3 linked regions of the Alligator mississippiensis genome follow. The protein of the gene in region 2 purifies or fractionates together with the protein of the main gene of each other region. This does not show direct contact. Links are inferred from orthologs where the notes say so. Each region holds a gene or a part of one and is shown on either strand. Other genes may lie near its edges.

Region 1 (7,386 bases), on a different chromosome or scaffold from region 2:
ATAATCAAAGAATAACACATAATAGCCATATATTAATAAGAAAAAATAATGCTTACCTGTTTCCACTCAAGTCAAAAACATAGATATTCCCTTGATGGTCTCCAGCAAGTAATGAGTCACCAGAATTGTCAAAGGCCACACTGAGAAAACGTATGGTCTTGGAGTGGTATCCTGTGGCACTATGAATAATGTTAGCTAGGACTCTGTGGGGAAAGCAAACAAATCACCCTGTTTGGGACAGTGTCTTTATCAAGCTTTTCCATATATGAGTAAAATGCTTCTAATATTAATGCGTCCAGGTATCTATGGGTTATTCCAGGTGATTAATGCTCTGGGGTGTTAAACACATGCCCACAAGATGGATCTGGCCCCCAGGGACACTCCATCTGGCTCCCTGTGCTATGGGTGGTCCAGGGTATTTGGGAGATGTGGCTAGTGAGGGGCAGAGCCTACTGCTGAATTCAGGGCCCTTGGCAGCAGGGGAGTGAGGGAGGGCCATGGCCTCCACTGCCCTGTTTGTTCTGCAGTTATTCGGCCCAATGCTGCTTGCACAGCCTCCACCACTGCTGGCCCGCAGCCCCCAGATCCAGCCCACTGAGGAGCCCCATGGTCCAGATGCAGCCTAGGTGAGTTTGACAACCCTGCTATAACTATTGCTCCCTTCAATCTTCTCGCTGGAAGTAAAGTATCCCAGTCCCTCAGGTCTGGGACTGTCTTCTTTTCCTCACACATCACAGCATCTGACAAAGCAGGCTGTCACCTACAGAAGCACCTCTCTTTCTGAACCAGTTAGTCTCCAAAGTGCCACCTGCCCTGCCTTCCACCTGACTTGAGCCTAACATGGCTAACTATCTCCTTCCCAGTGCATCAGAAATGGAATGAATGACAAAGGAGGTAACTTACTAAAGATGACCCCCCCCCGGGAGACGTGGTGGAATCTCCACTGTCAGTGTTTTTGAAGAGCAGATACAACAATGCTTGGCTGGGGGAGTCTGGCAGAAGGCAGAGTAGATGTACACCTTATAGACTAACCAACGTAGCTATCAGGGGCAGATCCAAGGGGTGGGGGGATGGGGATGCAGTTACACCCCACTTTGATTCTTGCTCCACCCCAAATTTAAAAGCAACTGCTTGGCAGTGGCAGCAGCATTTCTAGTCAGACAGCGTTGAGGGGGTCAACTGACTTCATGGCTCATTGTCATCTACCCGATTCCTTCCAAACTCTTCATTCAACAGGTGTTAACGACCCTCGCTTCTTTTTAAAGGTCTTGATGTTGCACCAATCAAGTCAGCCTTTGTTCTGCCATGCTGCTTTCTGTTTGCTGCTCCTGGGAAGGAAGCTCCTATTTCACAGCCCTGCAAATTGTTTTTAACTCATTCCAAAACAGGATATTTGCTTTTGCTTCAGTCTTCAGCTGCATAACACAGCCCTAGGCCCCTAGTATATTAGCAACGCTTTCTAGTTACATATGCAAAAGCAATCAGGGCTTATGGTAGAGGTGATATCTTTTATTATTAGACCAATTATTGTTGCTCTAAAAACAGATATCACCTCTACCATGAGCCCTGATTGTTTTTTCCTCTAGACTAATACAGCTACAACCTGGATACCAGTTATACATACACACACTCCCTGCTCCCAGCTTTCTTTATACCATTTATACACACACGCGCGCGCGCACATATATGTAGCATAAGCTTTCGGAAGCTGAAAATCACTTCATCAGATGCTGTGAAAGGACATGCAACAAGCTTGACAGGGCTGCTCCTGCCTGGCTGTGGCCCTGCTAGGAGTCCACCATAAAACACCCCAGGCAGGAATCACCCGTCCCCCAACAACCACCACACAAAGTACCTCAGCCCTGAGTGCAATGACGGTCCCTTGCACACAATTGCTTGCAATTGTGCTGCCCTATTTGAGTGGCCACATGGCTCAGTCAGCCCCTAGCTAAGGCAGGGTCTCAGTCTCATTGCCTCAGCCAAACTGGCTTCCCTGCAGCTCCAGGCACTTCTGGGCAGGCCGTGTCCAAGTGCCTCCATCCTGCCTCCAAAGCGTGCGCAGAGACACCTGCGGCAGGTGCAGACCGGCACAGAGACAGGGCTAGACCTGCATGAGGGGACCCGCTAGGGGGCAAAACCAGACAAGGGCCCTGCACCACGGCCCATACTAATGAGCAGCAACAGCCCCCACCTGAGGCACTGAGGCTCCAAACCCACCAGGCCCTGCCGCTCCAGGGCAGCACGAAGGCCAGGACCCTGGGTGCGCATTGCTGGCAGCTCCTCCTCTGGCAATACCCCGCCCCCACCTGTCTCCAGACCCCGCCCCTCCCGACCTGTCCCCAGGCCCCGCCCCCGCCCTCCCCAACTTGTCCTCTGGCCCCTCGCTCCCCCGACCTGTCCCCAGGCCCCCCCGCCCCATCGGTCCCCAGGCCCCACCCCCACCCTTCTCTCCCCCGGCAGTTACCCTTTCCGCGCGGCGGGGCACGGCTTGCGGTGCCAGATCTTGCCGCGCTGCCGGCTGCCCAGGTCGGCGCTCTCCATCCCGACGCACGCTCCACCCGGCTCCGCCCGCGCCAACCGCCGCTTCTCCCGCCGGCCGCCGGGGCGGGGACAGAAGACTGGGGAGGGGGGAGTCCGCCTCATGGGCTCGCCCGCTTGCAGTTGGCACACGTCAGGCGCCCACGGGCAGGGTAGCGTGTTCCCCCCTCTCCTCGGAGCGGTAATGGAATGGGCCACCCGCCCGGAAGCCGCGGCGCCTGTCGGGAGTTGTAGTTTGCAGCGCATCGGAAACTATAACTCCCGATAGGCACCGCGCCTCCCGGAGTGGGAGGAGCAGATGGAGGAGCCGCTTTTCGCGGTGTTGCATGCGCTCCAGTAACCTTGTGCCTGGGCGCGCGCGTTCCACCCCTCCCCCCGCTCGCCCGGGTCCGGCTGCAGAGGTGGGGGAGGACCGTGGTGCGTGTCCTGCGGGCTGCTTACAGGGCCACGGGCTGATGTTGTGTTGTATAAAGAAAGGGAAACCTCTTCACTCCTCTTGAGTGTGTCTGGGTCAACAGGGGCGCCAGATGTTTCGTTGGAGCAACCTGTAGTGGGGCCGTATCGGTTAGAGCCCAGCTCCATCCCAGCCACGTGGCTGGACCCACACGAGACTTCGCCCTAACATATCCCTCGCCTCTCTAACCCTTTCTGCTTACATCACTCTCCGACTCCCCTCTCCGTGCTGGCCTCCTCAACACACCTGTCCTTGCTCTGCTCGTCACTTCTGAGCTGCTTGGTGCGCGGGTTTCTTTCTGCTTCTGCTTTCGCTGTCTTCAGGGTGATGATTACCCATCCTGCCGGGTGAGCTCCCACGGGCTGGGATACCAGGGCTGCACCTGCATCTGGGGAACTTGTAATTCCAAAAGGTCGAGGAGAGCCGCCACAGTCTCCTGACTAGGACCAGGTTCCTCCCAGGTGACACGGCCCACGGTCTGCCAGGAGTCCTCAACATCCAGATTTTCAGTCAGGCCGCTGCGACCGTTGAGGCGCCTTAGAAGCTGTAACAACCTCCTAGGGTCCTTGCGCTGCTGTGCACCATCGGCGAGTCTTTAGGCAGTGATCTGGCAGCGCCCATCTCTCCAGGTCTGGGTGTCTGCTGGCTCGCAGGGAGCTCATCTGCCCTTTGACAGGTCTTGTTTTCAGTCCTGCTGGGTGTCCACACACCCTCCTCACCCAGCCTAGCACACGTGTGGGCGCCGATTTACTCATGGACAACCTGGCCCAGGAACAGGCTGTACTGGGTTACACCGTACCAGACAGCATACCCAGAGAGGCTTGGCCTGATGGGTATACTTATCTATACCTATCTCTATATACCTATCTATGTCTATAGCTAACTATCTTTATATGATATCTATACCTATTTCTCTCTCTCTCTTTGTCTATGTATCTATATATCTATCACTAGCTATATATGATATCTATATCTATCTATATCTCTATATATATCTATTTCTATCGCTATCTATCTATCTATCTATCTATCTATCTATCTATCTATCTATCTATCTATCTATCTATCTATCTATCTATCTATCTATTATGTCTGTATCTCTCTCTCTTGCTATCTCTATACATGTCTCTATCTACCTATCTCTACCTCTACATGTCTGTATCTACCTATCTCTCTATATATGTGTCTCTCTGTATCTGTAGCTAACTATATCGATATATGATGTCTATATCTTTCCTCTCCGTGTCTTCCCGGGTGTGCTGATTTCTAGAACACGAAATCTCAGCCCTTTCGGGAAGCCCTCGCGGGTGGTGGAGGTGTGAAGCGGGGGTGCGGCCCCTTTAAGAGGCGGGACTTCCGGTATCTTGTCGCAGCGCGGAGGGGCGGAGCTGGAAGCGGCTGCGGCTCGGCCGAACTCGGAGGAGCCACGTCGGGCGGAGCCAGACCGCCCCTAGCGCCAGCGCCTCCCCCGCGGCGGAGCAGCGACTAGGCCCGGCCATGTCGGACCTGGGGGACTGGTTCCGGAGCATCCCGCTCATCACCCGCTACTGGTTCGCCGGCTCCATCGCGCTGCCGCTCGTGGGCAAGCTGGGCCTTATCAGCCCCGTGTACCTCTTCCTCTGGCCCGACGCCTTCCTCGGCCGCTTCCAGGTAGGGCCCGCACTACATCTCCCGGCATGCCGCGCGGCCTTGGCGCGCTCGGCGGCTCGGCGCCGCCGCGCGGAGCCTGCTGGGGGCTGTAGTCCGGCGCGTGGTGGACGCTGGGGCGCCGCTCCTTGGCGCTGGGCTGCTTGTAGGGCGGCGGGCGCTGTGCCCTGCTCTGCTCCCCGACCCCCGCTGTCTCGTGCTGAGCCTTTGCGCCCCGTTTCAGCAGTCCTTGTCCCGAGCGCTCAGCAGCGCAGAACTAGTGCCCCTGTATTAAAGGGGGCTTATAGCTTCCGTGGCAGACCTGGCCCAGGAGATCCCTCCCCATGTTAAAAGGGGCAGGAGCAGACGCTGACGGGGAGAGCGAGCACCCTCTGACCGGGGCTTTTCCGGGCTTTTCCTGGCGTGCCTGTCTCTTGCGGCCTCCCACGTTTAAGGTTTAGGAAGTTCATCTTCTGATGCCATCTCCCTCGTCCCCCTGCTTGGTAGGTCCTCATGCCCCTTTCCTGCAAGCACTTGCCCACTCCCTGTTTGAGCCCAGCTGCACTGTCAACGCCCACAGCATCTGGTGACAGTGAGCTTCGCGCTTGAATGACATGCGCTGCGTGAAAAAACTTCCTGTGCTCAGCTTAATGCCTGCTACAGACTCGTTTCATTTCGTGAAACGAGTAGGTAGCAAGTTGCACTTGGTGACCCTTAGCTCTCGTACTGAGAGAGGGAGGAAATCATATATCCCTGTTGACTTTCTCTGCGCCATGTCGGATTTTGTAGACCTGTATGTCCCCCCTCAAGCATTTCTTTTTTTTTTTTCTAAATAAGTCTAGCCTCTTTAGTGTCCTCATATGGAAGCTCCTCCATACCACTAACTGTCCTTGTTGCTCGGCAGTTGTACCTAGGGTGAGGTCAGACTTGAGACGTCCATGGAGAGACCAGGCTTCCCCCCCCCATAAAGTGCTTTTCATAAGAGAGAAACGCAGTGCACTAAGTAGGAAGTTAATTCCCTTGCCAAGCGGATGCTGCATCCCAGAGAGCAGTGTTCAGACAACTCTTTGGGTCTGCGAGGCAACGTGTCAGCTCGGCAGTCTCGAAGATGTGTCTGATCCCTCTCTCTGCACTTGCACATTTATGCATTAGAGCAGGTACTTCATTATAATTTCCCTATACCTACTGGCTTAAAACTCTATCTGGACACTCCCAGGTATGCCTCATATGTGCCTGTACAAGGTGGGGCTTGTTGCATGTTCCTTTCCAGAACGAGGATGACAAGATTTAGTTTAGCCCTAATCATCGCAAACTTTTAGCCAGACCTGGTGAGCTAGAACAGAATTAGAAAAGCTGAGTTTTATCAATTTTGGTAGAGGTTTTTGGCTGTAGCTGTGTTGGTCTGTAACAACATAGGCAGGCCAGGTTCTTTGGGTAGATGTGAAAGCTTTTATTAGACCAACTGAGTAGCTGGAACAAAGTTCTTTGCAACTTGATAGGGTCTTGATATGTTTGTACTGTCTGTCTCTTTCCATATATTGATGTAAAACAGTTACTATTTTAAGAGTTGAAGTTTTATGCTTAGAACTGCTGACAATGAGCTCAGCCTCTGCTAACTGTTGTGATGGAGGAGGGTAGAGAGGCATTACAAGATGCTGACTGCAGCTTTTCAGCCTATAGTAGGTTTGGGACAGATGTGGGAGGACTCTGGGTAGGGCTAGCAGAGTTCATCTTCTGCTCCCTCTTGGTTGGCTTGTTGCCTTTTTGTCTGGAGTTTTGGGAAGGGTGCGTGGTGGGGGAGTCAAGGTGTTTAAATCATGGTCTGGTAGGAGCCCAGTGACCAACATCCCTAAGTTCTTGGAGCATGAGTTGCTGGCATGAGACTATCCAGGGTGCTCATTAAATTTCTGGGTGAGGGATGGATGATGGAAGGCCTCTCTTGCAGCACAAAACAATTCGTTCATTCTCTGTGCCTAAACACGGGCAATAAGAAACCATGTTGCCCTTCCCATCTAAAACAGTTGGGAAGGAAAGAAAAGATCCCCATCCTGTAAGGCTATCAGGGCTGCCCAGCTTCGGGGGGGGCTGGAGCTGCATGCCACATCAGTTCTGAGCCTGGGGCTGCACACCATGTAGGCTGCATGGCAAAGGGGTTGCCATGTCCTGTGGACTCCTGGACCCCTGCTGTGTGTGTAGAGCCAAGCCTCCCCCCCCCTTCTGTTCTCTGCACCTACATCGATGAGCTCCCAGCCTTACCTTGGTTGTTGCCACATGGGCAGTGCAAGCCCACCCTGCCACGCAAGCCCCAGGAGTGGCAGCTGGGCAGGAGCCTGCAGGCCACCAGTTGGACAGCCCTGCTTTATGTCATTACGAGCCTTCAAGCTGTCTTCCTTTTCCACATACTGACCCAAAGTAGTTATGACCTGAAGAGTTGGAGTCACATGCTTATTTGTGCTAGTCCCTCCTGAACTATGAAGCTTGAGGTCCAACCCTGTCATTCTGAATTTGTCTAGGCTGGGGCATCTGAAGCAGTGGCTCTCAACCTCATTGCACTCAAGGCACCTCTCTAACGTCAGAGTTCAACAGCACCCCATTTCAAACACTTACATGCACATTGTGAATGTTATGTTATAAACAGAATTATATTGTCAATGAATTTAATGAATGATACTGATGTATTATACCATAATATCAAATATAATACAAATGTAATATTCCCACTTCATGCTGCCAGCAAGAAGTGCTTTCCCAGCCGTGCCTGGCCCTGT
Region 2 (7,887 bases):
GAAGGCCTTCTCATTAATAAACTAGGTGACTGTGGCGTTGATGCCTACAGTCAGATGGGTCGCTAACTGGCTGGAGGGCCGCACCCAGAGAGCGGTCGTGGACGGGTCATTTTCAACCTGGAGGGCTGTGGGCAGTGGGGTCCCCCAGGGCTCGGTCCTCGGACCCGCACTGTTCAACATCTTCATCAGCGACTTGGACAAGGGGCTGAAAAGCACCTTGTTCAAATTCGCAGATGACACTAAGATGTGGGGGGAGGTGGGCACGCTAGAAGGGAGGGACAGGCTGCAATCAGACCGGGACAGGTTACAGGGGTGGGCGGATGAGAACAGGATGGGTTCAACACTGACAAGTGCAGGGTGCTGCACCTGGGGAGGAAGAATCAGCAGCAGACCTACAGGCTGGGGAACTCCCTTCTCGTCAGTGCAGAGACAGAAAGGGATCTTGGAATCATTATTGACTCCAAGATGAACATGGGCCGACGGCATGGGGACATGGTCAGGAAGGCCTTGTTGGCATCCACAGATGCGTCACGAGCAAGTCCAATGTGATCCTCCCCCTCTGTGCGGTACTGGTCAGGCCGCAGTTGGAGTACTGCGTCCAGTTCTGGGCACCGCACTTCAGGAGGGATGTGGACAGAATGGAGAGGGTCTAGAGTGCCACCCGCATGACAAGGGGGCAGGCCCCAGGAGGAGAGGCAACAGGACCTGAACCTGTTCAGCCTCCACAAGAGAAGGCTGAGAGGGGATCTAGTGGCCATCTATAAATAGACAAAGGCAGACCAGCAGGCAATGGGGGAGTCCCTGCTCCCCTGAGCACTACCTGGAGTAACAAGGAATAACAGCCATAAGTTGATGGAGGGTAGACTCAGACTAGACATCAGGAGGCGCTACTTCACAGTCAGGGCAGCTAGGATCTGGAACCAACTTCCAAGGGAAGTGGTGCTGGCTCCTACCCTGGGGGTCTTTAAAAGGAGGCTAGATAGTCACCTTGCCGGGGTCATTTGACCCCAGCATCCTTTTTTGCCCGTGGCAGGGGGTCGGACTTGATGATCTGCTCAGGTCCCTTCCGACCCGACCAACTATGAAACCAGCTCCCCCGCCCCACTCCCACCCTTTCCTTTACCCGGCTCCCGGCCTCCACTTGCCAGCAAGCCTGTGGGCTCCCAGCACAGCAGCTGCTTCCGAGTTGCCCCTCCAGCCTGAACGAGGAATGAGTGAGGAAGGAAAGGGCAGCACCTCCTGGGTTTGGAGCTGTCAGTTTATTTGTAACAAGTGGCTTGGACAAGGTCACAGATACCAAAGCTGGGGACACACAGAACAGCCACAGGCACAGCCCTCCCCAGAGCCAGGTGTCCCTTCTCTCCCAGGTGACAGCAGCAGTCAGGGCCGGCTGGGGAAGCCTGGGGGCTCCTTCTCTCTGCGGGGCGCAAGCAACAGCCTCCCTGGGGCTTCCCAGAACAGAGTGAAGGGGGCTCTGCCAGCAGCTGCAAGAGTGAGGTAGGCCCCACTCTCTGGCCCCTGGAGCAGCAAAGGGGCAGGCAGAGCTGCCTAGGCAGAGCTGTGGGCTGCCATCCCCTCCTCCCCGCACCAGCTCAGCCCCAGCTGTGCAAAGTAGCACACTCCTGTCCTGCCCTGCTGGGCAGCTCCACACCCAGCCAGCAGCCTCCTGCACCCCAGAGCCAATGCCCTGCAGAGCTGGCCTGGGTGGGGCTGGAGAGGGTCTCCTAAGGCAAGGCTCAGCCCATGTGCTGTGGACTTTGCCCCGAGTTCCCTGCCAGCTGTACCCAGCCCTCCCCACCCACCAGGTCCTTGCAGACAGGTGGCTGAGCACATGCCCAAGAGGTGATATGGTGTCTACGCAGCCCAGCAGGGAGCAGATCTCAGGCTCCTGGACCAGGCCTCAGCACAGGCTGGGATCCCAGGGCTGGGGGCTGAGCCACAAGGGGTTGGGTCAGACCTACCCAGCACAGAGCCAGCACCTGCCTCTGCTACCAGCAAGGAGCTTGGGCAGGGGGCCAAAGCCTTGCTGGGAAGAGTCAGCCACCCAAGCTCAGCATCCCCTCACAGCAGCAGTCATCAAGGCAGCTCCATTCAGCCTGGAGCCAGGGGGCGGGAAGCTCTTAGTGAGACCCAGAGGACAGGCTCCCTGGGGGAGGCTCCTCCCTTGCCCTGCTCAGCATCTCCAGCCCCCACACACCACCCCAGGCCAGGCCAGGCCAGGACCTCCTGCCCACCCAAGCCCCTGCCCCAGCCCTGCACATCCCAATTCCTCACGCGCTGAGCCGCAAGCAGACGGTGATGTCACACTCCTACCTCCAACATCACAGCCAGCCTGGGCCCAGGCACCAGCTGGGGAGGGGGTACCTGCAACAGGGGCCTGGCAGGGAGGAGCCCCAGCCCAGCCACCCCACCCACCACCGAGGGAACCACCACGGTAATAAATAAGTGTAAAAAGACCAACGCACCCTTTAAGCAAAGGAAAACCAGGGGGACAGCGACAGCCACCCGCCCGCAGGAGGTGCTCGCGGCGGGGGCAGCACCCCTGCTGGCCACCACGGGCCCCACATGCTGCGCGCATCCAGGCAAGCTGGTGGGGGGCCGTGCCCCTGCGGCGCTCCGGCTGGGCTAGCGCGCCAGGGGCGTCTGTTTGAGGGAGATGAGCACCGAGCGCATGCGGGAGACGTCCTTGTTCTGCTTGCTGCTCTTGGGGTTGAAGTCGCAGAGCTGCGCCACCTTCTCCCACTCCGTGCCCGGGTCCTCCTCCCTCGACTCCTTCAGGAAGGCTTCCTCCGAGGCCCTGTGGGGAAAGGGGGTCAGCCACTGTCTGCCCACTGCCCGCAATGCCCCCGTTTCCCCATGCCCCCCATCCCTCGGGCACAGGGGCTCTGCAGTCTGGTTAAGAACAGGCTCCTGGCAGGTGCACAAGCCCAGGGCTCCTCTGCCACCCCAGAGACCCCCCCCAGGGGGGTGGGCTCATAATGCAACCCCCATGCAGCCGCCACTTCACCCCCTTCCTCCACACCTTGCAGCTCCACTCGCTTCTGGGGACTTCACTGTGGGAGGTGCTGGATGGACACCCCCACCAGACCCCAACAGCCCTGCAGACCCCCACACCAGGCAGAGGGAAATCCCCAACCGGAAGGACAGAGAAACAGAAAGAGAGAGGGAGAGAGCGAGAGAGAGGGGCACGTACACATAGCCAATCACATCGGCGTCCGGCTGCTGGTAAAAGGCTTTGTCAGCAATCCTAGCCCAGGAGCAGCAGACAGAGAAGTAGCAGAGTGACAGGCAGGCAGGTTAGACAGACAGAGAGGGCAGGTGTTAGTGCCCGCGCACCGCCGGCAGGAGCACGCCCCGCTCCACCAAGCAGAGACCCCGGCTACGCCCGGCCCCTGCGTGGCAGGCAGTGGGGTCGGGCTGACGCAGGACCCGGGCCCCCAGGACGAGGCCTCGCACGGGGAGAGATGCCCCTATTTCTAAGCACGGCTCCTCCCTGCTCCAGGAAGGTCCCCACCTCCCCCCCGGCCACACCTGTTGTTAACCCGGTTCTTCTCCATCTGCTCAACCTGCCGCAGGTTCCACTCCTCCAGGTCCTTCTTGGCCCTCTCGCGCCACTCCTGCTCCAGCACCTTGGAGGCAGCGTCTGTGGCCGGGGCAGAAGTCGGTCACGGCGGCGCGGGCGGCTCCGCCCCAGGGGGAGGTGGGGGCGCAGGCTGGCTCCCGCACCCTGCGCGCGCCCCTTCCCCGTGCTCACCCAGCTCCTGCAGCCGCTGCTTTTGCTCCTCCCTCCACTTGCGGAGGCTCTCGGGCTCCTGGGTCAGCCGGTCCGCCTTGGCGATGGCGGCGTAGGCGTCCGTGGGGCCGTTGGACTCCTGCGGGACACAGCCCCCCTGCCCCGCTGAGTGAGCACAGCCCCCCGGGGCAGCGGGCTCTGCTCGCTCTCCCTCCCCCAGCACCACAAGCAGGGGGCTGCTCGCCTGTGCCCCCCCCGCGGCAGCCCACACAACCCAGGTGCCCACGAGGGGCTTGGTGACATCACACCCCTGTGATGTCACAGCCGCCCCCCGCCCGTGGGGGTGCCGGCACCCCGAGGATGACACGGCGGGCGCGGGGCGGGGGCGGGGGCGGGCGCGTGAGTCAGGGCAGGGCGAGGCGAGGCTGGAGCCGCTCCCGCCCGGCTCAGCCCGGCTCGTACCTGGAAGAGGTCTCCGTTGAGCGCGGTCGCCCCGTCCGGCGCCCCGGCTGCACGCGAGGGAGGGAAGAGGCGGCGGGTCACGGCGGGCAGGGCGCCCCCCCCGGCCCCGGCCCCGGGCCCGGCCCCCTCCCGCGGGCAGCCCCCGCCGTGCCCCGGCCCCAAGCGCGCCGCCCACCGTCCTCGTGCAGCGGCTCCGGGCTGCTCCCGGGCCCGGGGTCGCCCTCGATGCCCGCGATCTCGCTCTCCTGCTGCGCCAGGAAGGCGGCGGCGGGGTCCTCCTCGGCCGCGCCCGCGAACAGCCCGAACTCCTCGGCCATGTCTGCGCCGGGCGGGGCGGGGCCGGGACGCGCGCTGGCGTCACCGGCGTGACGTCATGGGCGGGGCCGGGGGCGACGTCACGGCGCGGGACTGCGGCACGCGCGCACCAGCCCTGCCAACGGCTGCCTGAAGCCTTCGGCCGCTTCCGGAAACCTCCCAGCGGCTTCGGGTGTACTGTCACGTGACCGTGGATAGCTCGGGTGTTTCCGGAAACCTCCCAGAGACTTCGGGCGGGCGGTCACGTGGACCGCTCGGGTGTTTCCGGAACCCTCCCAGCAGCTTCGGGCGGGTGGTCACGTGGAGCGCTTCGGAAAGCCCCGAGCAACGACGCCGAGGGGAGCGGAGGAACGCCCTCCCGCGACCCGTCCGCCGTGGGGGGGGGGGTCAAAGAGGACCGGAAGTGTAGCGTCACTTCCCGAGAGTGACGGAGCGGCGGGTCAAGAGGCGGTAGCAAAATGGCTGCGCCGGCGGAGCGGGAGCTGACGGCGGAGCAGACCGAGAAGCTGCTGCAGTTCCAGGTGCCGCGGCCGCGCCGCTCTCGGGGCCCGGGCGGGGGAGGAGCAGGAAGGCCCCGCCCCCCAGGGTCTGTAGCGCCGGGATTGGCCGCTGGTTACCGGGGCAACGCGGCCCTGGGCTGGGGCCTTCCCCCCATGACTGGGCCGCGCTCCCCGCGCGCACGTGCCCGGCCCGGCCCGGCCCGGCCCACAGCGCCTCCTCTGCCGCCGCCGGCTGCCGCGTGGGGTTGGCCCGCTCGGAGCGCGGCCGGCAGCGACTCCGGCGCGGGCCGAGGCAGCGTCAGGCCGCCCTGCGCAATCCAGTCACGGGCCGGGAGGGGGAGGGGAGCGGAGCTCGGGAGTCGCGTCTAGCGCAGCCCCGCTCCACGCAGGACCGGCCCGGCCCGGCCAGGGCTTTGTCTACCCGCCGTTTCACCACCTCCGAGGGTGGAGACCGCACCACCGCTCTGGGGAGCCTGCTCCAGTGCTTCGCCCTCCTGGAGACTGTGCTGTCCTCATATCCACTCTCAACTTCCCTCGCTGCAGCTGGAGCCCATCGCTCCTTGTCCAGCATCTGCCCCACTGAGACCAGCCCAGCTCCATCCTCTTTGCAGCCCCCCGGCAGGGAGGTGAAGCTGCTATTCAGCCCCCCTCAGTCTTCCCTTCTGCAGACTCAGTCAGCCCATTTCCCTGAACCGCTCCTCACCAGTCCTGTCCCCAGCCCACAACCATTGTCAATGCCCTCCACTGGACTCTCTCCAACGTGTCCACATCCTTTCTGCAGCGGGGGCCCGCAGGTGGACACAGGACTGCAGGTAACCTAACCGGGGCGCAGCATAGGCAGCCCGCCCGAACCTGGTGCAGGTATGGCAGGGGACCCGTAGTAGCCACCGTCCCGTTTCCATGAAACGTTTACGGATTCGCAGAAGGTTAGGGCTGGAAGAGACCTCGTGAGATGACGCAGTCAGTACATGCTCAAGCGATCCCAGGGAAGGGCCCCCCCCGGCTACTGAGGAAGCTAAAACCCCCGTCGTCCGTGCCTGTCTGACCATGGGGTAAAATTTGCAACGTGATGCGTATCAGAAGACCAGAGACATCAAACGGGAACCCAGAGTGTCAAGAATACATGTATTAATATTGGAGCCAATCTTCTGTTGCAAATGAATCAAGAGATCAGAAATATATTTGTGCCCCGTTGTGTATTTTGCGACAGGAGATTGGCTCTGGTGTTTGTCTGTGTTCAGAAGATGAATGAAAAGCAAGAGCTGGCAACTTCCACGCAGGGCCTCAGATCTAAGGATGAGTGCGTCAGAGCGAGCGAGGGGTGAAGGTTGAGAACCACTGATCTAAATTAAGGGCTTTGAGTGGATCAAAAGACCTAACATTTCACCCAGTAACCCAAGCAGATAACTTGTGGTTGGTTGAGCTGTTTGTTAATCTCCGCTGTGCTCAGCGTGACAGCATGTAACTACTATGAATCGTGGTCCTTGGGCCTCCAGTCATGAGTTGAAGATCCCGGGTGATATATCAAGGTGATATTCCAGTTGTGATCAGACTACCGATGTTTTCAGTCTAATCCTCCTGAGTCTCCAGACGGGTTCAGCACATCTGCAGCTGCTGCTTGGCAGCGGGGTGACCGTCGAGGCGGTGCTGGGTTGGAGCCGTTGTTCAGACCCACGTTGCAGCAGTAAAGCTAAAGTGTGGGATGGGGCTTTGACAGACCAGGGTGTATTTCCCACTCTGACAGACCTCAAATGCCATTCAGTATTTATGGCCGTTCTGTATGCATACTGTTTTGCAGAGCCAGGAACATTTAAAGCAATGGAGCTAATGCTTCTAGACCTCAGAGATGGTCCTTCCTTCTACTGCACCCTTTCCTGTTTCTCAGTTACTCTGTCCCAACACATAGTGGTCAGTAGGTGTTTGAAGCTTAACTGCTGCTACTAATTATTTGCTTTTCTGTGTCACTAACTGCTGATGAACTTGATGCTTTACGCATCTTCATTACATTTCAAAATCCCCTTGTAGGCTAAGTAAATACAATTATGTGCATTTTATTTAGGGGAAACCCAGGAAAGGAGAGAGGGACTTACCTAAGGTCATGCAAGAAATGTGATCATTCTGATTGTAAGGTGTGTGTGGCAGAGGGTTTCTTTTACTTCAGATCATCCCATAGCAGCCACAGTGGAGTTCTGGTGCATGCTAGCGATTTCTGACTTTTGCTGCAACACAAAAAGGCAATAGTCATCATAAAACATGCATGTGTCAGGGTGGAGAATAAACCTCAACTGTTGCACACACAGTCCTGGACTTAACCCACAAGAAATCCTCCTCCTCATCCTCACTGTCAGCTTGAGTACAATGGAGGCAGTTTGCCCTGTGATGTGCACTATGGAAATAAGTAGACAGAGATGGTGGTCTCTCCAGAGAGAACACTGAATTTCTCTTGAAAGGTATTGGGCCCAGCTTGTGCAGTTCTCAGAGACCACAGGGATTTCTTCCTCTGAGCAGTTTTTCAGGCAGTTTTTAATTGGAAATTATTAACCTGCCATTAAGGCTGAAAGACTATCATGAGGACTGTGACAGATGGTGAGTAAACTGAACAAGAGGTAATTAAAGTGTTGCTGCTCAGTAATGAGCTGAAATATCTCAACTCTGGTTGTTTTCAGAATTCATAGATTTCATAGACATTAGGGCTGGAAGGGACCTTGGAAGATCATCAAGTCCAGCCCCTGCCCAAAGGGCAGGAAGTCAGCTGGGGTCATAGGATCCCAGCTGATTCCTATAGCTTCGGGTGGTTTGGGTTAACTGCATAGTTGTGTACTGCCCATTGTCTTGGCAGTGCTGTCTTGGAGTTGCCCTGCTCATAAACATTTGAAT
Region 3 (7,333 bases), on a different chromosome or scaffold from region 2:
TATGTGCCTCCAGAATGTAGTGTATCTGCAGCTAAAAGGTTCTCAACCTCTTCAGGATTAAAATGCCCCACCACCACTTTTTTGAATGTGGTGGCACTCCTGGCTGAGAACCACTAGTGGTGCTGCCTCAGCTTACCTCAGTGCTTCCCAGCCAGGTCCTGCTGCTGGGAAGGGCTCTGAAATGGAAGGGCTCCACACTGCAAAGCCAGCCCATGAAGGGCTGTGCTACGTGTGTGGTTCTCTCACACTAGTGCTCTGATCAGTCTAAAGCAGACAGGAGCTGCCTCATGCTGTGCAGTTCTTTATGGTCCAGCACCCCCAATGCTGCTCCTGAAAGCAGAAGCAGACAGAACTGTTACAGCCAGGACTGGTTCTCCTGCCTGTTTTAGGCTGATTAAGGAGCCCTAGTGCAGGGGTAGTGAGGCAGTTTTACCTGGCCACTGTTAGTGCAGCACTTCTGAGGGGCCTTGCAACACCCTGGTTGAGAACCACTGCTTTAGAAAAATGATATAAATATAAGATTTAAAAAAATCTGAGAAGTGGGAAATAGTCAGGATGCATATCCTAGAGAGAGAGAGAGAGTTAGCTATGCTGGTCTGAAGTTAGGCAGAAGGGCAGGACAGGGTGGTATCTTAGGGTGCTGTTACAGGTTACCTTTAAAACATTTTAAATCTGTTGAAGGTTGCTGTCATAAATTACAACAGTTTCAGAGCAGTCACAGGTTAAGGCTTAATGCTGTCTCAGACCTGCACAACTGGGAGGCCTAGGAGGCACCCTCAGCAAGTTTGTAGATGATGCCAAGTTGGGGGGTGTAGTAGATGCACTGGAGGATTGGGCTAGGATTCAGAGTGACCTAGACAGATTGAAGGATTGGGTCAAAAGAAATCTTAGGAGGTTCAACAAGGACAAATGCAAAGTCCTGCACTTAGGATGGAACGATCCCATGTACCGCTACAGCCTGGGGACTGACTGACTAAGTAGCAGCTCTGCAGAGAAGGACATGGGAGTTACAGTGGACAATAAGATGGATGTGAGTCAGCAGTGTGCCTTTGTTGCCAAGAAGGCTAACTGCATAGTGGGCTGCATTAGTAGGAGTGTTGCCAGCAGATCAAGGGAAGTAATTATTCTGCACTGGAAGGCCACATCTGGAGTACAGTGTCCAGTTTTGGGCCCCTCACTATAGAAAGAATATGGTCAAGTTGGAGAGAGCTCAGTGGAGAGCAGTGAAAATGGTTTGGGTGCTGGGGCACATGATTTATGAGGAGAGGCTGAGGGAACTGCGTTTATTTAGTCTGCAGAAGAGAAGACTAAGCTAGGATTTGACAGCAGCCTTTAAGTACCTGTAGGGGGGCTTGAAAGAGGATGGAGCTGGACTGTTCTCTATGGTGACAGATCACAGAACAAGGAACAATGGTCTCAAGTTGCAGCAAGGGAGGTTTAAGTTGGATATTAGGAAAAACTTTCTCACTACGAGGGTGGTGAATCACTGGAACAAGGTCCCCAGAGAGGTGGTGGAATCTCCATCCTTGGAAGTTTTTAAGACCTGGCTGGACAAAGCCTTGGCTGGAATGATCTAGTTGGGGATGGTCCTGCTTTGAGCAGGGAGTTGGACTAGATGACCCCCTGAGGTCCCTTCCAACCGTAATTTTCTGTGATTTTATTAAACTGCCATTAGAGGGCCTGGTGAGCAGGCATGTGGACAAGAGCCAGGCCTTTATCCCTTCTTTGGGGTGGGAGAGTAGTGGGGAGGGTGGCATTGCACAATTACTTGAAGACCGCTACTTATGCAGAGTAGCTCTCACACACAATAAAAAGCTCCAACCAGCTATGAAGTTAGACCTTAAAAAAGTATGCTAACTTTAGAGCTGGTTGCTATTGAGCTTTAATGTGCACATATAGCAAGGTCTCCCCTGCGACTGGGAACCCAATAGCTGATAGGGTTTCCAGCTGCAGGGGTGCACCATGTTCTGCATAAAACCTCAAAGCTGAAGGGGCGTGGGCAGCCACTATCCCTAAGGGCTTATGGGTGTGGGAAACCCCCAGATCCTGGGGATCATGGTGATCGTTTGACCCTTGGGGTGGGGGAATCTCCACTGTAATTATCCTACAGCCCCAGGGGTGCCCCTGTGGCTGGGAGCCCTTCAGCTGGAGTATGTGGGGCTTCTAGCTGCTGGAGTTTGCCAGTTCAGGGGCAGCTCAGGATTGAGCACGCCCTGCACCAGCAATAAGGTGCAACAGTATCTAATGCATGATCCCACTATTGCCCCTCCTGCCACGCGTATGTGGCATCGCAGGAGGTGCGATTGTATGAATTGCATGTTAGATCCCATCACACCTTTAGCTTTGTGTAGAGGGGGCCTCAGAGGCAGAGAAACCACCATGTAGTTTCCCTTACTCTGTAGCCAGCAGGAGCCAGTTAGAACCACAGGTGGGAGGGGAGTCTTTTAAAAAAAAACCAACTGTTTGAAGTGATTTGGTACAGGGGAGAAGTAAAGAGAAAGAAATGGAAAAAAGAATATAAAAAAGGACCAGAACCTTGTATGTGTTTCACTGAATTGGTATTGGCTTTGAAGGAATTGGGTTAGTTATTATATCAGGACACACCTGAGACCCATCAGGCTTGTTGCATGCCACACTGGGGTAGGAGCTGGGCTTAGTATGCACTCACAACAGGGCAGAGCCCAGGCCAGAGACTCAATGGGCTTGCTACATGTGCCTCACCAGGGCGAAATCGTGACCCAGCAAGCTTGCTGCATGCAGGCTGCACTAAGGCAATGCGCTCATAGACCACCTGGTGCTGCTTGTTGCCCTTTGAGCCCTTGGCAGTGGTGGTGAGTATTTTCAACTTGCCCTAGATGATGATGAGGTCCAGCACCTCAGCACGGGTCCAGTTTGCAGCTTGCTGGGTGGTTTCCATTCTTTGGCTCATTCTTTTCACAGAGGTAGGCAGTAGGATTCCTGTTGCTGTTTGCATGGGAGTCCTAGAGCTAGTAGCAAACTAGGGAGCTGCATTGGGTGCTCACAGTAGTCAGGGTGTGCTGGAGTCGCACCTCCTGGAGGGGAAAGGGATGTTGACTTGTGGCCAGCACCACCCCGTTAACAGATTTTTAATAGGGGTGGGGAGGTGAAAAATTGAAATAGACTCTTGTGTCATTCCAACCAATGTGAGAAGCTTATTGATTAATTGACAAAGCAAGATTAGCTGAAAAAAAGCATAATCTTACAGGATGGGTCTTGACTGCCGCAAAGTGAAGCTGGCCAGGCTCATGTTCTGCACAGCAGGGGGTCCTCCAGATGAACAGTCCCGCAGATGAACAGTCCAGCAGGTGTCATGTAGAAGTTCCCAAGTTTCTTCCCAGCCTATGCTTACTATTTATAGATAGCTGGTAAACATTCTAGTATAATAAAGGGCTTCCTCTGCCTGTCTGTTTGTCTGTCTGTCTGTCCGTAACACTGTTGGTCAGCTGTGCATGCGCTGCCGTCGATTGGTTGCATGGACCCAGGTGGGGAGGAGGCAGAGGGCAGATGCGGGGACACATGCATCTGACAGCTGGCAGGGAGAGCGGGATGGCGGGGGAAGTGTGGCTGCTCGGTGGAAGAAGCAGAGGCAGGCTCACATGCACCCAACAGCTGGCAGGGAGAGGGAGGTGGTAGGTTCAGAGGGGAGTAGGGAGGGGAGGGGAGGCCGGGGGAAGCCCTTCTGCTCAGGGGAGGAGGTGGAGGTGGGTGGGGAGGGAGCCTCCACACTAGTGGCTAGAGGAGGAGGTGACAGCGGTGCAGGGAGTGTTTATATGGCTGGCCCCGAAGGGTGAGCAGGGAGGCGGGGGGTGGCCTCCCTGCCATTATTTTAAATCTGTCATTCATGATGGGTAATTGGCTAGTAATCTTAATATTCTAACTAATGATCCCTGATTGGGTTTGTTGAAATTACTGAAACTTTCAGAGCTGAATTAACCCAGATCTCTTGTGGACTTCTATGCTAGTCTGTTACCTCTGTACTTCAGTTTGAGAAAGCAGGCTCTGCCCAAGAATAGTGGCAAGCCTGATCTTTTTCCCCCCCGGAGCCGCCTGCCTGAGCTGCGGGAGGCCTGGTGCTTACCTCTGCGGCTGTGGTGACTGACCCCTAGGGCCACCCGAGCCAGGTGCGTGCCTGCGGGCAGGTGCTTCCTGGGGGAGCTACAGCTGCTGCAGAGGGAAGCACCCTGGCTGGGGCCTGGGGCCAGGGAGGGCGGGTTAAACAACCCTTACCCCACTCAAACTTACTGTTGGCTGCAACTGTGGACTATAAATTACAGAGGCACCTGGAAGCAGGAAGAGGACGTGATGAGCAACCCTGCAGAGTCCTGCTGTTGTAATTCTGGGCTGCAAATCCCAGAGACCTTGGCGGCAGCAGGAAGAGGAAGTGAACACACAGCTAGAGAGCTGTGCTCTAGTGCCCCCTGTCTTCTGCCTGAGACACTGTAGGCATGTGGTTGCATTTTCTGAATCAAAGGAAAATAGGATCGATAGGCTTGCAAGGTGAGTGGATGAAAACCTGATGGCATTCAATATAGAGAAATGCAAGGTGCTTCACCTCGGTGGGGGGGGGGGGGGACCTGCATCATACTTATAGGCTCAGCAATGCTATCCTCACTAGCACCACAGCCAAAAGACACTTGGGGGTCATGATTGACCGCAAGATGAACATGAGCCACCAATGCGATACCACAGCTGGCAAAGCAAACAAAACTCTGGCTTGCATCTACCGATGCTTCTCAAGCAAGACCCAGGATGTCATCCTCCTGCTGTACTTGGCCTTGGTGAGGCCGCAGCTGGAGTACTGCATCCAATTCTGGGCTCCACAATTCAGGAAGGATGTGGAGAAGCATATTTATAGATGTAGGGTCGGAGGGGACCTGAGCAGATCATCTAGTCCGACCCCCTTCCCTGGGCAGGAATGAATTACTGGGCTCATATGACCCCTACTAAGTTTAAGCTCAAATGACCCCAGCTAGGTAGTTATCAAGCCTCCTTTTAAAGACCCCTAAGGTAGGAGCCAGCACCACTTCCCTTGGAAGCTGATTCTAGATCCTGGCTGCCCTGGCTATGAAGTATTGCCTCCTGATTTGTATCCTGAACCTATTCTTAATCAACTTGTGGCCATTATTCTTTGTTACTCCGGGAGGTGCTCGGGAGAACAGGGTCTCGCCCATTCCCCTCTGGTCCCAGACCCCGGTAAGTTTATAGGCGGCCACTAGATCCCCTCTCAGCCTTGTCTTGTGAAGAATGAACAGGTTCAGGTCCCTTAACCTCTCCTTGTAAGGCCTGCCCTGCTGCCCCCTGATCATGCTGGCCCTCCTTTGGGCCCTCTCAATGCTGGCCTCATCCCTCCTGAAGTGCGGCACCCAGAACTGGACACACTACTCCAACTGTGGCCTGACCAGTGTCGCATAGAGGGGGAGGATCCTGGACCTGCTCATGATGCATCTGTGGATACATGACAAGGTGCGATTAGCCTTGCTGACCGCGTCCTCACATTGGCGGCCCACGTTCATTTTGGAATTGGTAATGACTCCAAATCTCTTTCAGCCACTGTGCTTTCAAGAAGGGAGTTCCCCAGCCTATAGGTATGCTGCTGGTTCTTCCTGCCCAAGTGCAATACCCTGCACTTGTCAGTATTGAATCCCATCCTATTCTCATTTGCCCACCCCTGTAACCTTGCCTGAGAGGCTTGAAAGAGTCCAGAGGAGAGCCACGCGCATGATCAGAGGGCAAGAGAACAGGCCTTACGAGGAGAGGCTGTGAGCTATGGGACTCTTCAGCCTGGAGAAGCACAGGCTCAGGAGTGACTTGGTGGCAGTCTATAAGTACATAAGGGATGTGCATCAGGATCTGGGGAACACCTTTTTACCAGAGCATCCCAGGGTATGACAAGGTCCAATAGTCACAAACTCCTGCAAGACCGTTTTAGGCTGGACATAAGAAAAAACTTCTTTACTGTCCAAGCCCCCAAGGCCTGGAACAGACTCCCCACAGAGGTGCTGCAAGCACCTACTCTGGGCACTTTTAAGAAACATTTGGACGCTTATCTTGTTGGGATCTTTTGACCCTAGCTGACTTCCTGCCCCATGGGCAGGAGGCTGGACCCAGTGATCTTACGAGGTCCCTTCCAGCCCTAATGTCTATGAAATCTGTGAAAATGTCTGCTTACTTCTGTTTCTGTTTAATCTGTGCAGTTTAGGCTAACCTGCAAAGACTGAATTGATTCGGCTTTGGGTTTTCTGACTGTATCTAGCCATAATGTGCTTTGTCATTGTTCTGGTTGAGAGGCTGAATCAAATGATTTTTAGGTCTCTGAAGCATTGGTTGACTTTGAACTTGTAGGGCTGGACTTGATGTCCTGAGAGGCTATTTTTAGCCCTGTTTTCCTGTGTACAAATCAGTTCAAAGTTGCCAGATGGAAACAGTGTTTGAGCGTCTTCCTAAAAACTTCCTCTGGATTGTCCCCTGGTTTTACCCCAGAGTCAACTCTGTAGTTTAGGGTTATGCATGTTAACAGGCTGATGAAGATTCCCATAGCAATAACAGAGCATTTCACTCCTTTCCTCTCATAACATACAAAATTGTAATGTTGTTTGCTTACAGACCTAGATACTTATACATAGAATTACATTTAAAAAAGTCTTAGAATTGATGCCTAGTTTAATTATTACTTTGTATCTGAATCTCGAGCTGAAAGGTGCTTCTTGGGCCATCAGATCTGGTTCCCTGCCTTTGCTAGCAGCATTTGTAAATTTAAGGGATCCACAAAAAATACCCATTCCACAAGCTCTCTTGAACACCACAGCCATGAGGGAAAAAAAAAAAAAAAAAAGAAAAGAATATAAGAACATAACTCTAACTTGGCAAAGATAAAGAGCAGATAGAGAATAATGTTACTGATATGTGCTGTCTGTCTTCATGATGCCAGGACATTTGAACATGTTATATGTTCTGTATATACAACCTAGGGAATTATGCTATTATGCGCCCATGCACTTTGCGCATAAAAGGTATTACCGTGCATAACTGCATAATTTAACTACAGTGGGCTCTGTGCCTTTACCTCCATGATATGGAGGTACAGAGCCATGTGGCTGGACATCTGGGTAACTGGGGAGGGGAGCCTGCAGGGGGTGGGGTGGGTATGGAGTTTGTGGCTGGCTGTGGGTGGGTGTGTGGGGTTTGTGGGTGGGTCAGTGGGCCGAGCCAGCTGGCTCAGTGCCTGCATGTGGGGCTTCCAGCACTCTAGCAGGAAGCCGCATGTAGAGGCACAGAGCCTGCCCAGCTTGATGGTGTGTGACTCCGTACCTCC

Evidence for each region.
Region 1: the proteins of FAF2 (region 2) and DERL1 purify together in Homo sapiens (affinity purification with western blotting; 4 studies listed by BioGRID and IntAct, with this or other methods). This does not show direct contact. The link is inferred for Alligator mississippiensis from reciprocal best matches to the Homo sapiens genes FAF2 and DERL1.
Region 3: the proteins of FAF2 (region 2) and UBAC2 purify together in Homo sapiens (affinity purification with western blotting; 7 studies listed by BioGRID and IntAct, with this or other methods). This does not show direct contact. The link is inferred for Alligator mississippiensis from reciprocal best matches to the Homo sapiens genes FAF2 and UBAC2.

What each region holds. Positions count from the first base shown.
Region 1 is NC_081826.1:20,780,950-20,788,335, forward strand, and holds the start of DERL1 (derlin-1), read left to right. Parts: upstream 1-4,374; 5' UTR 4,375-4,489; coding exon 4,490-4,642; intron 4,643-7,386. Other genes in the region: TBC1D31 (TBC1 domain family member 31), read right to left, coding at 57-203, 2,465-2,541. UniProt on the Homo sapiens protein: Functional component of endoplasmic reticulum-associated degradation (ERAD) for misfolded lumenal proteins. Forms homotetramers which encircle a large channel traversing the endoplasmic reticulum (ER) membrane.
Region 2 is NC_081832.1:79,160,390-79,168,276, forward strand, and holds the start of FAF2 (FAS-associated factor 2), read left to right. Parts: upstream 1-4,874; 5' UTR 4,875-4,968; coding exon 4,969-5,031; intron 5,032-7,887. Other genes in the region: CLTB (clathrin light chain B), read right to left, coding at 2,626-2,797, 3,194-3,247, 3,532-3,643, 3,755-3,890, 4,196-4,242, 4,371-4,512. UniProt on the Homo sapiens protein: Plays an important role in endoplasmic reticulum-associated degradation (ERAD) that mediates ubiquitin-dependent degradation of misfolded endoplasmic reticulum proteins.
Region 3 is NC_081824.1:364,831,548-364,838,880, reverse strand, and holds the start of UBAC2 (ubiquitin-associated domain-containing protein 2), read left to right. Parts: upstream 1-4,321; 5' UTR 4,322-4,466; coding exon 4,467-4,518; intron 4,519-7,333. UniProt on the Homo sapiens protein: Restricts trafficking of FAF2 from the endoplasmic reticulum to lipid droplets.